3 linked regions of the Ovis aries genome follow. The protein of the gene in region 1 interacts with the protein of each later gene in a pairwise test. Links are inferred from orthologs where the notes say so. Each region holds a gene or a part of one and is shown in the gene's direction. Other genes may lie near its edges.

Region 1 (3,500 bases):
GTTCCTTATCATGGGCCTGAGCTTTACTCAGATAGAAACATAAAATTAGAAAAACTTTACTTTGGAGTCCTTCTGTTTCATACATCCTTCCTCTTTTATTGTTCAGTCCCATTCTGTTGTCCAGTCTTACCCCAAGCCTTGACCTGGGGCATCCCATCAAATTACTTATTGGTTAGTTTACTTCTCTCAAAACTGCCAGTCCTCTTTTCCAGCCTCTTGGCATTTTATGTTTTCCTGAGTCCTTCCATCCCCTTTAAACACTCAACCTATGTCAACTTTCTGTACTAATCTTAAGCTAAAGTCAGATTAGAGTTTCATTTACTACCCGCTCCCCCGACCAGATGGCTTCTAGAAATTTCATTCAAAGAATCATTTCACAGTTGTATCTTTTCCTGCTTGAATTTTATTTTGGATAGACTCAACTAATTTATTACTGTATATCTTAATGGAGAATAGAAAATGTTAACTATTTCAGCTAAACTACTTTCATATTAGTTCTCTGTAGCAAATAAAGTTTTTAAAATGAATCTATAAGTAAACATAGGAATCTACCTGCATCTACTGAGTGATATAATGTTCACAGTTATGATGGCATATATATAATTTTAATATTGGTTTCATTTTACTTCTAGTTGGAAAGTAGATTTATTAGTTTGCTAAAAGTTTTTGTCCTTTTTCTTTTTTCAATTTAGGTTAAATCTCTTGATGAGAAGCATGTGGTTGGCAGGATTTCCAAGCACTGGACTGGCCTTATTAAAGAGTTATTTACAGATGCTGATAACTTTGGCATCCAGTTCCCATTAGACCTTGATGTGAAAATGAAAGCTGTGATGCTTGGCGCATGTTTCCTCATTGTAAGTTTACTCCTGCTAATCTAGGGTACAGATGGTTTCTCTAGTTTTATTCTGGAATAATTTTTTAAATTTTATATATTTAAACGACCTTAAATTTGTAGGTTTTATTGAAAGTGGTCCTATTTAATCTTAGCTCTGAAATTCCGTTTTCTTCTGCTACTCTTGGTTCACAGGTGACTAGCTTCTCTCTGGAGGGTCTGTGTAGTTTCACACTGTACCAGAAGGATGTTATATGTTAAGGAGAAGTTCTGGTTTTAGTGGTTAAAAAAAAAAAGCCACCACCACCACCAATAACAACAACAAAAAAAAATTGGTACTTTGGAGAAGAGTTTGAATCTTCTAGTGTGTTTAAATGAAATAAGTCTCAGTGAAACAAGGATATTTTTTTCCTTATTCATTATTAAACCATCTAATACAGAAATACAAACTGCAGTAAGTGTACATTTGATCAAGTCTTGGATGGAACTATCAATTGAGAGGAAATATATGGAATACAGCATTGATTCTGAACTTGTCTTCACATTAAATTAGCTAGGAAGTTTTTAGTAGTAAGCCATACCCCAGTTTAACTAAATCAGAAGCACACCATTAAAAGTTCGTGTAGCTCCCTAGATGATTCCTTATGTGGCCAATGTCAAGGTCTCTGGGGACAGAGCAGTGGTTTTTCACCTTAGCTGCACAGTAAAAACACCTGGGTAGCTTTTGCACTCCCTATGTCAAGACTGTACCCAGATCCAGTAAACTAAATCTGGAGATGGAACAAAGCCATCAAGTGTTCAAGCTGTCGTATGATTGCAATGCAAATGAGGTTTGGAGCCACTAGATTATCTTAAACACTGACATGCAGAGGCAATCAGAAAAAAAAAAAAAGAAAACTAAAAAGTGAGAGAACATACAGGAAAAGATTCAGTTACTTCAACAAATAAATATCAGGAAGATAAAAATGAAAAGAGAAACACCAGCTTAATATCATTTGTAGACTCTGTTTGGATACTGGTTTAAACAAACCAATATAAAAAGACATTTACAAGACCTTCATGCATTTGTGAACACAGGCTATTTGATGATATTAATGAATTATTAAGGTTTTTAAAATGATGTTATTATGGTTATACAAAAACAAAACAGTCCATATTTTTTAAGGGTGTATACTGAAGTATTTCAGTATGAAATGATATGGTTATTTATCACAGATTTGCTTTTAAATAAGGGAGATGAAGCCAGGGGAACATAAGGGATAGATTAATTGGTGAACTAAGCTGGGTGAGTAGTCACTGGGACTTTATTATGCTGTTCTATCTAATTTGGCATAGATGATATTTTCTATATAACATTTTAAAGATAACCACAATTCTGTTTAAAAATTGTGCTTTCAACAAATGTTTATTTCACCTGAGAAGAAAACTGTAATCTTAATCTTAGGGAACTGTTTAACCAACGGTTTACACACCATAACCAAAGATATGATGTGTATAGGGCAGAGAGAATAGTTTGGGATGTCTGGTTAGATGAGATATGGGACTGAAGGGTGTTGGTGGGGTTATGAAGTGAAAGTCCCTCAGTCATGTCCAACTCTTTGTAACCCCATGGACTATACAGTCCATGGAATTCTCCAGCCCAGAATACTGGAGTGGGGTTATTAAGAAGTGAATATTGGGTAGATTGGGCAACTTCTTATAGACCTTGGAAAGATACTAAAAATTGTTTAGTTAACTGGTTAGTTTTAAGCTACGTATAAATAAAAATAATTATAAATCCAAATGTTAGAACAATAAATCCTGATGACCAACTGTATTAGTGCAACTACAAGTGAATGGTTATAAAGATTTAGTTATTTCTTTATAAAGGGATAAAGGAAAATGACAGATGTGAGAGAGCTAAAATCCATACAATTTAGAAGTCATAAAGATGAAGATTTGGTTAGAAACTGATGGAGTAAGACAAACTGAGGAATAGAGAGACAGGCTTGGAAGAGAAGTCATAAAATTGGGCCCCAAAATTCTAAGATGTTATTCTAAGTCTAAGATGGCTGCCATTCTCCTGAAACAATCTAAAGATTGTACATGGAGTTCCATGTACAGTCACAACACAAGTTATGTTACTAGAGAAGGAGTTCAAAAAGTTGAAGAAGAAAGATTGAAAGAGGAACATTCTAAGAAGCATGAAAAAAAGTGAAACTTACAGAAATCACCTGAGAATTACTTAAGTTCATGCAGGTATCAATAAGTTAACAGAATTGTAGGATTTAATTACCATTAAACTGGAAAGTTGAAGCTATCAATTTTTCCTAGATCTACGTATTACAGTTGATTTTTCTTGTTTAGCAAGTATGTTATTGTGTTTCATCAGATCCCTTAGTATTTATGCATCTGAGACCTGATCTTTGCTTGGTGCTGAAAACTCATTTCTGTATTTTGTTTTTCTCTAGGACTTCATGTTCTTTGAAATGACTACTAAATAGAGAGCAGGAGTGTGGTAGTACATTTATGAAAGTCTCAGAAAATCTGAAGTCCGTATATTGATTGGGACTATGTAAAAGAAAAACTGGGTGGATTTTTTCTTTATGTAAATGATTTATTACAGCATGTGTAAATTATATTAGGATACCTGAAGCTTCAGGCATATGCTTTTACTTTTCAAATTAAA
Region 2 (3,500 bases), on another chromosome or scaffold:
ATATTAAAAATGAAAAACATAAAAGAAGCAGAGTCGAGAGAGGAACAGAACAGAGAGAGGAACAGAATCTACATGAAACCTTAGAGAAAATTAACATGAGGCAAACAATGAGGTTGAACCTTCCAGGGGTGACATCTATTTTGGATTTGCTCTTGTGGACTGCCCCATTTCTTTACAATGGAAGATGCAAAATAAGCAGTCTTCTGCCTCCACCCCAGAATTTCCCCAGATATCTATTATGCATAGGACTTATTGACGCTAACTTCATTGAAAAAACTTACAGCCCCACCTTCCTCAGAAACCTTTTATGAAAAAATTAATTTGGTATTCTCTATACTCAGAGAGTTAACGCACATAATTTAACATCTATTTATTATCAGATTCTTTATATTAGAAACTGAAAATGGACTTTACTCCTTCTCTCTCTTAGATGATTACAACATCCCCTAATAAAGGGCTCAAATTCTTATTCACTTGTTCAGAGTGATTAAATAGGATGTTAAAAGTGTTCTTTTTTTCCCGAAGAAAACCTAGTGTCCTAGGTTTTTCAAGGTGGCTTTTCTATATTAACTTGGATTTATTTCACCAAGTTTAAACAATGAGATCAATTCATTTAATTATTTTATTTCTTTATATGATTTTTACTAACATCACCATTATTTAATGACAGTTATTCATTTAATTTAGGAAGTTCATTTAAAAATACTGAGAAACTTGTGCCATAATTTTTAAAAACTTATAAGAATGGTTTCTGGAAGCAGTAATTTATACATGATCTAGAAATTAGAAGATTTTAAAGAGGTAAAAAAGATGAGATTTCAAATTTTAGAATAGCATGACTTTTTATTACTTTACTTTAAATTTTATAAATATGTATTTTGAAGAATTTAAATAATATTTTCCTCTCTCTAGATTTTTGCTTCAGTGTCTTGAAGACCTTGATGCCAATCTGCGAAAATTAAACTCTCGTCTGTTTGTGATTCGTGGACAACCAGCAGATGTGTTTCCCCGGCTTTTCAAGGTAATTGAAAAAAATCTTTGCATAAAAGAAAAATCTCTTGTCAGAGAAGACACATTTGTGGGGGGGATAATTTAAATTTTAGTATGGGAAATGTAAAAATTTTAAATAAAATATATGTGGATTTTTTCTTAATGAAAATGTTACACAGACAGTGTGAAATCAGACTGTGAAAAAAATGATTTACATTGAAGTTAAATCTTTCTTCTATTTTAAACTGCTAGTTCCCCTCTCAGAAGCAACAGCTACTACCGCTTTCTTATATATGCATTAGAAATAGTCCTTGCATAAATAAGAATGCATATGTGTATGTGTATTTATATACATATATTTGTGTGGTTTATGTGTATTTAAAACCTCTGTTAAAACCTTTTAAAAACCTCTTGTTTTTAAAACCAAGATAAGAACATGCCATGTTATACCATTCTATGCCATGCTTTATTCACGTGCTTTATTCATGTGCTTTTAAACCTCTGTTTAAAAACCTTAAAACCTCTGTTAAAAGTTTTTAAAAACCTCTGTTTTTAAAACCAAGATGAGAACATGCTATGTAATACCATTTTATGCTGTGCTTTATTTGCATAATCATGTATTTTGGATATTGTTCCATATTACTTTCTCAGTCTTTTAAATGGCTTCATAGTATTCGATTGTGTAGATATGCTATAGTTTCCTTTTTAAAAAATTATTATTGACTTATAATTTATATTTCAGGTATACAATGTAGTGGTTCAATATTTTATTGATTACATACCATGCAAAGTTATTACCACTTAGCATAATGTCCTCAAATTCATACATTTGCGATGCTGTTGCTAATGACAAGATTTCATTCTTTCTTTTTATGGCTGAGTAATATTTCTGTGTGTGTATATGTAAATCGTTATTCATCTGTTGGCAGGCACTTAGGTTGCTTCCATATATTGGCTATTGTAAATAATGCTGACGTGAACATTGAGGTACATACATCTTTTTAAATTAGTGTTTTTGTTTTCTTCAGATAAATAATGGGAGTAGAGTTGCTGGATCATATTACCATATGATCTGTGTTCTATTTTTTATTTTTTGAGGGTATCATTTCTTTCACTAGCTTTCTAATGAACACTTAGTTGTTTTTCCACAGGCCTTTTGCTAGTTCAAGTTATGCTGTCAGTGAATGTCCTTGTTCAAATATACATGTCTTTACTCACATTTGCTAGTACATTTGTGGGATAACTCTTGTAAGACTTTCTGAGTCAAAGGACTATATCAATTGACATGCTACAAAACTGTAATTTTTTTAAACTTGGTAGAATCTTAAAGATCTCCTAATCTTATTTTCCCCTGTTGTCCACATGAAAAATTTAGTCCTAAAGAGATTAAATGAGCTGACCAAGGTCATAAAGTAGCTCATGGAAGTGCTCAGGCTGAGTTTCTTGGCTTAGTTCATCCCTTCCTATTTACTGCAGTTAGAATTCCTAATGTATATCTGTTTTTTTCTTACAACAGTTTGATTCATCAAATTTTTATAATAGCATTGTTTCTATTTCGAATGCAGAAGAGAACAGTTCCTTTTCCTGAGTGAAAATATCCCCAATTCTGGGAATTCAATTAACACTACCTTGCCTTTTTTCATCAGCATGAAAGAAATTTTTAACGTTTAGGATATGACTAATGCAACAGTTGTGGCTAGTCAAAATTTATTTTACTGAAGTTTTCTTACTACTATAGCTTCTTAGGGTCAGAATTTAACCTAGTTACATGCAAGAGCTCTGAGCAGAAAGTATATCAGGAACAATGGTAATAGTTAATCAGCAACTCATATGTATAAAGTATATGTGAATATCTGCTTCAACTTTATATAAATCCATGTATTATAAGTAAATTGAATCTTGAGGATTTTTAAGTACCTTTAAAATAACAAAACATTTATTTACCTCCTTTGACAAAAATGGTTTAAGTAAGCAAGACTGATGCTGGGAGGGATTGGGGGCAGGAGGAGAAGGGGACGACCAAGGATGAGATGGCTGGATGGCATCATGGACTCGATGGATGTGAGTCTGAGTGAACTCCGGGAGATGGTGATGGACAGGGAGGCCTGGCGTGCTGCGATTCATGGGGTCGCAAAGAGTCGGACACGACTGAGTGACTGAACTGAACTGAAGCAAGTCTTTTGTGTTCTTTATTTTGAGCTTTCTTCTGCCTGAAATAGCATATTATTGGATCAGACTATCTTCTGAATTTAGATGCTATGCTTCTTGTCTTGTCACTTTGACAGAGAGGCAGTGGTTTCTACAAAGGCCATAAAATATAGATACATGAATATATATTACTGTGCCTAGAGTGCTTATTATTTGATTCTGATATAGTCCATATAAAATATATTTTATGAAAACTTTCAGATTTATTTAATATGTCAGAACCATAGAGAGAGTTAATTCTTCTTTTTATTGTATTGTTTTTATTTTTACTGTTTTTGTTTCGAGGTACTGTATGCATGTAT
Region 3 (3,500 bases), on another chromosome or scaffold:
GTCCACGAGTCACTGCAGAAATATGAATGAGCTTGATTATGGTGTGTAACCCCACATGTGTGGTGTGTGTTGTGTGAAATATATAGCATGTATACCATGTTACCTTCCTAATACTTGGACATTTTTGAACACCCAAACCCCTGGGCGCAGGGGATATGTGTAAGGGGTTAGAGATCAATAATTACTCCTGGGACTTAATGCCATGAAGGGCAAGGACAGGGTTTTGTGAATGAACATCAGGAGTTCGTGCAATAACCATGTACAGTAGTTGTGGGGTTTTCCCTGAGGAAGGATACTTAGCTGAGCCTTAAAAGTTGACCTGCGAAAAAGTGGGGTGAGATTTGTAAAGGTCTTATTATATAGAAAAGTATTCTCATGAATTGACTGGAGCAGATCCCAGCCAGACTTTCTGCTTCATAGTTAAGCCTGCATTCTTCCATTTGACAGGGGCAAATGCTTGGTGTGTGGGAGGCTGACGGAAAGAAGTGGCCAAGTGGAAGATTGCCCCTGCTCTCAGGTGGCTCTCAGGCTAGGAAGGATCTAGGAAAAGTCTAAAAGCTCAGTCTGAAACAATCCCTCTTGGTAAACAGCCTTCTACCCACCATCCGAGAGCATCTACTTCACAAGCTCCTAGTTAGTGCTGATAGTTTCATTGCACACACTGCACTGAGGGCTTGCCCTGGGGCTTTGTGCCAGGGAGGTGGGCTCTAAGATGAGTGATGAAATATGGACTGTGGTTCCCAGACTGAGTATCCAAAAGGCTTGCTGGAGACATTGTGCTGTAGAGAAACTGAGCACAGACCTCATTCTAGCCCTCAGGAAGTCAGTGTAGTGGGGAGACACAGGACCAGGCCCACTCCTGTCCTTTAGAGGATCCCCATCTGTTGGTAGTCAGTGCTAAAAAGGGCTCTCTTCCCTCCACCTAGGTAACGTGAAGCACCTGGTTCTTTTCCTCCATGAGGCTGTCCTGGTGCAGTACATGGACACACTCAAGCTTGCAGTGCCCTCTCTCATCTATACCTTGCAGAATAACCTCCAGTATGTTGCCATCTCCAACCTGCCAGCTGCCACTTTCCAGGTGAGCCCAAAGCCCAGCATGGCCCTAGAGGAACTGGCTCGGGTGGGGGATATAGGATGTTTGGGGAGGAAGTACTGCAAAGTGCAGGGGCTGTGTCTCCTGTGGAATGGAATGTCCTTGGCTCTTCCTCAACCTCAGTTTCCTCATCTGTGAGAACTGGGAAGGGAAATGGTAATAGTAGCTACTCACTGGGATGCTGGAATGATTAAAAGAAATGATATCTGTGAAGAGCCCTTGGTTGGTGATGGATAAGCTTTAGGCTATTTACGGGTGGCCTCTTTAATTGGTTAAAGACCCTGGATTCTGGCGCCAGGCTGCCTGGGTTCAAATCCCAGCTCTGCTGCTTTCCAGCTGTGTGATATTGGGCAAGTCACTTAACCTCTCTGTCTCATCTTTAAATTGGACATTGCAATAGTACACTTCTTATATGAGGATTAAATGAATTCATGTGAAGTGCTTAGACCCGCACCTGGCACACACAGTAGCCTCTATGTAAATGTTTACTGATGTTATTTCATAATGGATTCATTTGTATCAATATGTATGGATTCCTTTGTATGGATATGCATGGATTCATTTGTATCAATATGTACGGGTTCCTTTTTATCAATATGTATTTATCAAGACCTCCCTCATCAGGATGTTTACAATTCATTGGTTACCTGCTGTGTGAGGTACTTCAAATATATCAGTCGTATTTACAGATGATTATGTCAGGACTCAGGGCAAGTGCTTCCTCCCATTTCACACAGCTGGGACACGGGGTTGGAATGTGGACTTGGCTGTGGTCTGGGCATCCTTGCACAGCCATCCTCCTGGGTACTTTCTGGGAGGCACCTCAGAGCTATGTAGTCGCATCCCAGTCAGTGGCCAGCGGCTGGGTATCTTTGCTGTTTCTACGGTCATCTACTCTGCCCTGTGCCTCCACTGTGCCTGGGGGCCCACAGTCGGCGCCATCCCCCATGTGCACATGTTGGGGTTGGGATCAGCCCTCAGTGCCTTCTGCATGCCGCTCACAGGTGACGTACCAGCTGAAGATCCTGACCACAGCACTGTTCTCCGTGCTCATGCTGAACCGCAGCCTCTCTCGGCTGCAATGGGCTTCCCTGCTGCTCCTCTTCACTGGCGTCGCCATTGTCCAGGCACAGCAAGCTGGCGGCGGGGGTCCACGGCCACTGGATCAGAACCCTGGGGTGGGCCTAGCGGCTGTGGTGGCTTCCTGTCTCTCCTCAGGCTTTGCCGGTGTCTACTTTGAGAAGATCCTCAAAGGCAGCTCAGGCTCCGTGTGGCTGCGCAACCTGCAGCTGGGCCTCTTTGGCACAGCCCTGGGCCTGGTGGGGCTCTGGTGGGCTGAGGGCACAGCCGTAGCCCACCGCGGATTCTTTTTTGGGTATACACCTGCTGTCTGGGGTGTGGTGCTCAACCAGGCCTTTGGTGGGCTCCTGGTGGCTGTTGTCGTCAAGTATGCTGACAATATCCTCAAGGGCTTCGCCACCTCCTTGTCCATTGTGCTGTCCACTGTTGCCTCCATCCGCCTCTTTGGCTTCCATGTGGACCCGTTGTTTGCCCTGGGCGCGGGGCTGGTCATCGGTGCCGTCTACCTCTACAGCCTGCCCCGAGGTGCAGCCAAAGCCATAGCTTCTGCCTCTGCCCCCACCTCCGGGCCCTGCACTCACCAGCAGCCTCCCGGGCAGCCACCGCCACCACAGCTGTCTTCCCACCATGGAGACCTCAGCACGGAGCCCTTTCTGCCAAAGTCAGTGCTGGTGAAGTGAGGGCTGGTGGCAGCGAGGGGGGGAGACAGGGAGGGACTCTGGGTGGAGGGTGTTGGGCATCTGCAGGATTCAAGTTGCCACTGGGGCCTGGCTCCTCTGGGGTTGGAAGGGTTTTTTCTTCCAGGTCACTGAAATTTCCAGAAGGGTGTGGGATTAGGGCAGGGCATCACATGAACCCTTCCTTGTAGCCAGGGGTTTTTAGAGCTGCCTCCTCTGCCCCAGTCTAACCCCTTAGCCAGAGGTGTCCTGTCTCTCAAGCCTGGGAGAGTCCCAGCAATCCCTCCACCTTTGTAGGGACAAACTGGACAAAAATTCTTCAGCTCTTTAGTAGTGACTGATGCCTACCTGTGGGGTTCCGATTCCCATAGCTCGAGGCCTTCTCTCCTCCCTGGTAACTACACTGGATCATGTTAGCAGCTCAGTCTTTTTGTGGCCTTGGGGCAGCTTCCCTGACACAGGGACTTGAAAAAGGGCCTCTTATGAGCACCTAGAGAGAGAGGAAGGGGGATGAGAGCTGAGATTTTTGCATCAGCCCACTCAGGGGGAGGGTGCAGTAGGAGCCATTGGTTTGTAAGTGGTTTGGGGGTTTGTGGTGTAATCAGATGAATGATCCAGGGTGTGGGAAAAAAGAAGGGAGGTCCTTGAAG

The links.
Region 2: the proteins of phospholipid scramblase 2 (region 1) and CRY1 interact in a two-hybrid assay, tested with the Homo sapiens proteins (2 studies listed by BioGRID and IntAct). The link is inferred for Ovis aries from reciprocal best matches to the Homo sapiens genes PLSCR1 and CRY1.
Region 3: the proteins of phospholipid scramblase 2 (region 1) and SLC35A2 interact in a two-hybrid assay, tested with the Homo sapiens proteins (2 studies listed by BioGRID and IntAct). The two-hybrid records come from large-scale screens. The link is inferred for Ovis aries from reciprocal best matches to the Homo sapiens genes PLSCR1 and SLC35A2.

What each region holds. Positions count from the first base shown.
Region 1 is NC_056054.1:242,594,358-242,597,857, forward strand, and holds part of phospholipid scramblase 2, read left to right. Parts: intron 1-692; coding exon 693-854; intron 855-3,282; coding exon 3,283-3,315; 3' UTR 3,316-3,500. UniProt on the Homo sapiens protein: Catalyzes calcium-induced ATP-independent rapid bidirectional and non-specific movement of phospholipids (lipid scrambling or lipid flip-flop) between the inner and outer leaflet of the plasma membrane resulting in collapse of the phospholipid asymmetry which leads to phosphatidylserine externalization on the cell surface.
Region 2 is NC_056056.1:175,908,054-175,911,553, reverse strand, and holds part of CRY1 (cryptochrome-1), read left to right. Parts: intron 1-912; coding exon 913-1,021; intron 1,022-3,500.
Region 3 is NC_056080.1:56,168,656-56,172,155, forward strand, and holds part of SLC35A2 (UDP-galactose translocator), read left to right. Parts: intron 1-926; coding exon 927-1,078; intron 1,079-2,097; coding exon 2,098-2,834; coding exon of another isoform or gene 2,835-2,853; exon of another isoform or gene 2,854-3,500. UniProt on the Homo sapiens protein: Transports uridine diphosphate galactose (UDP-galactose) from the cytosol into the Golgi apparatus, functioning as an antiporter that exchanges UDP-galactose for UMP.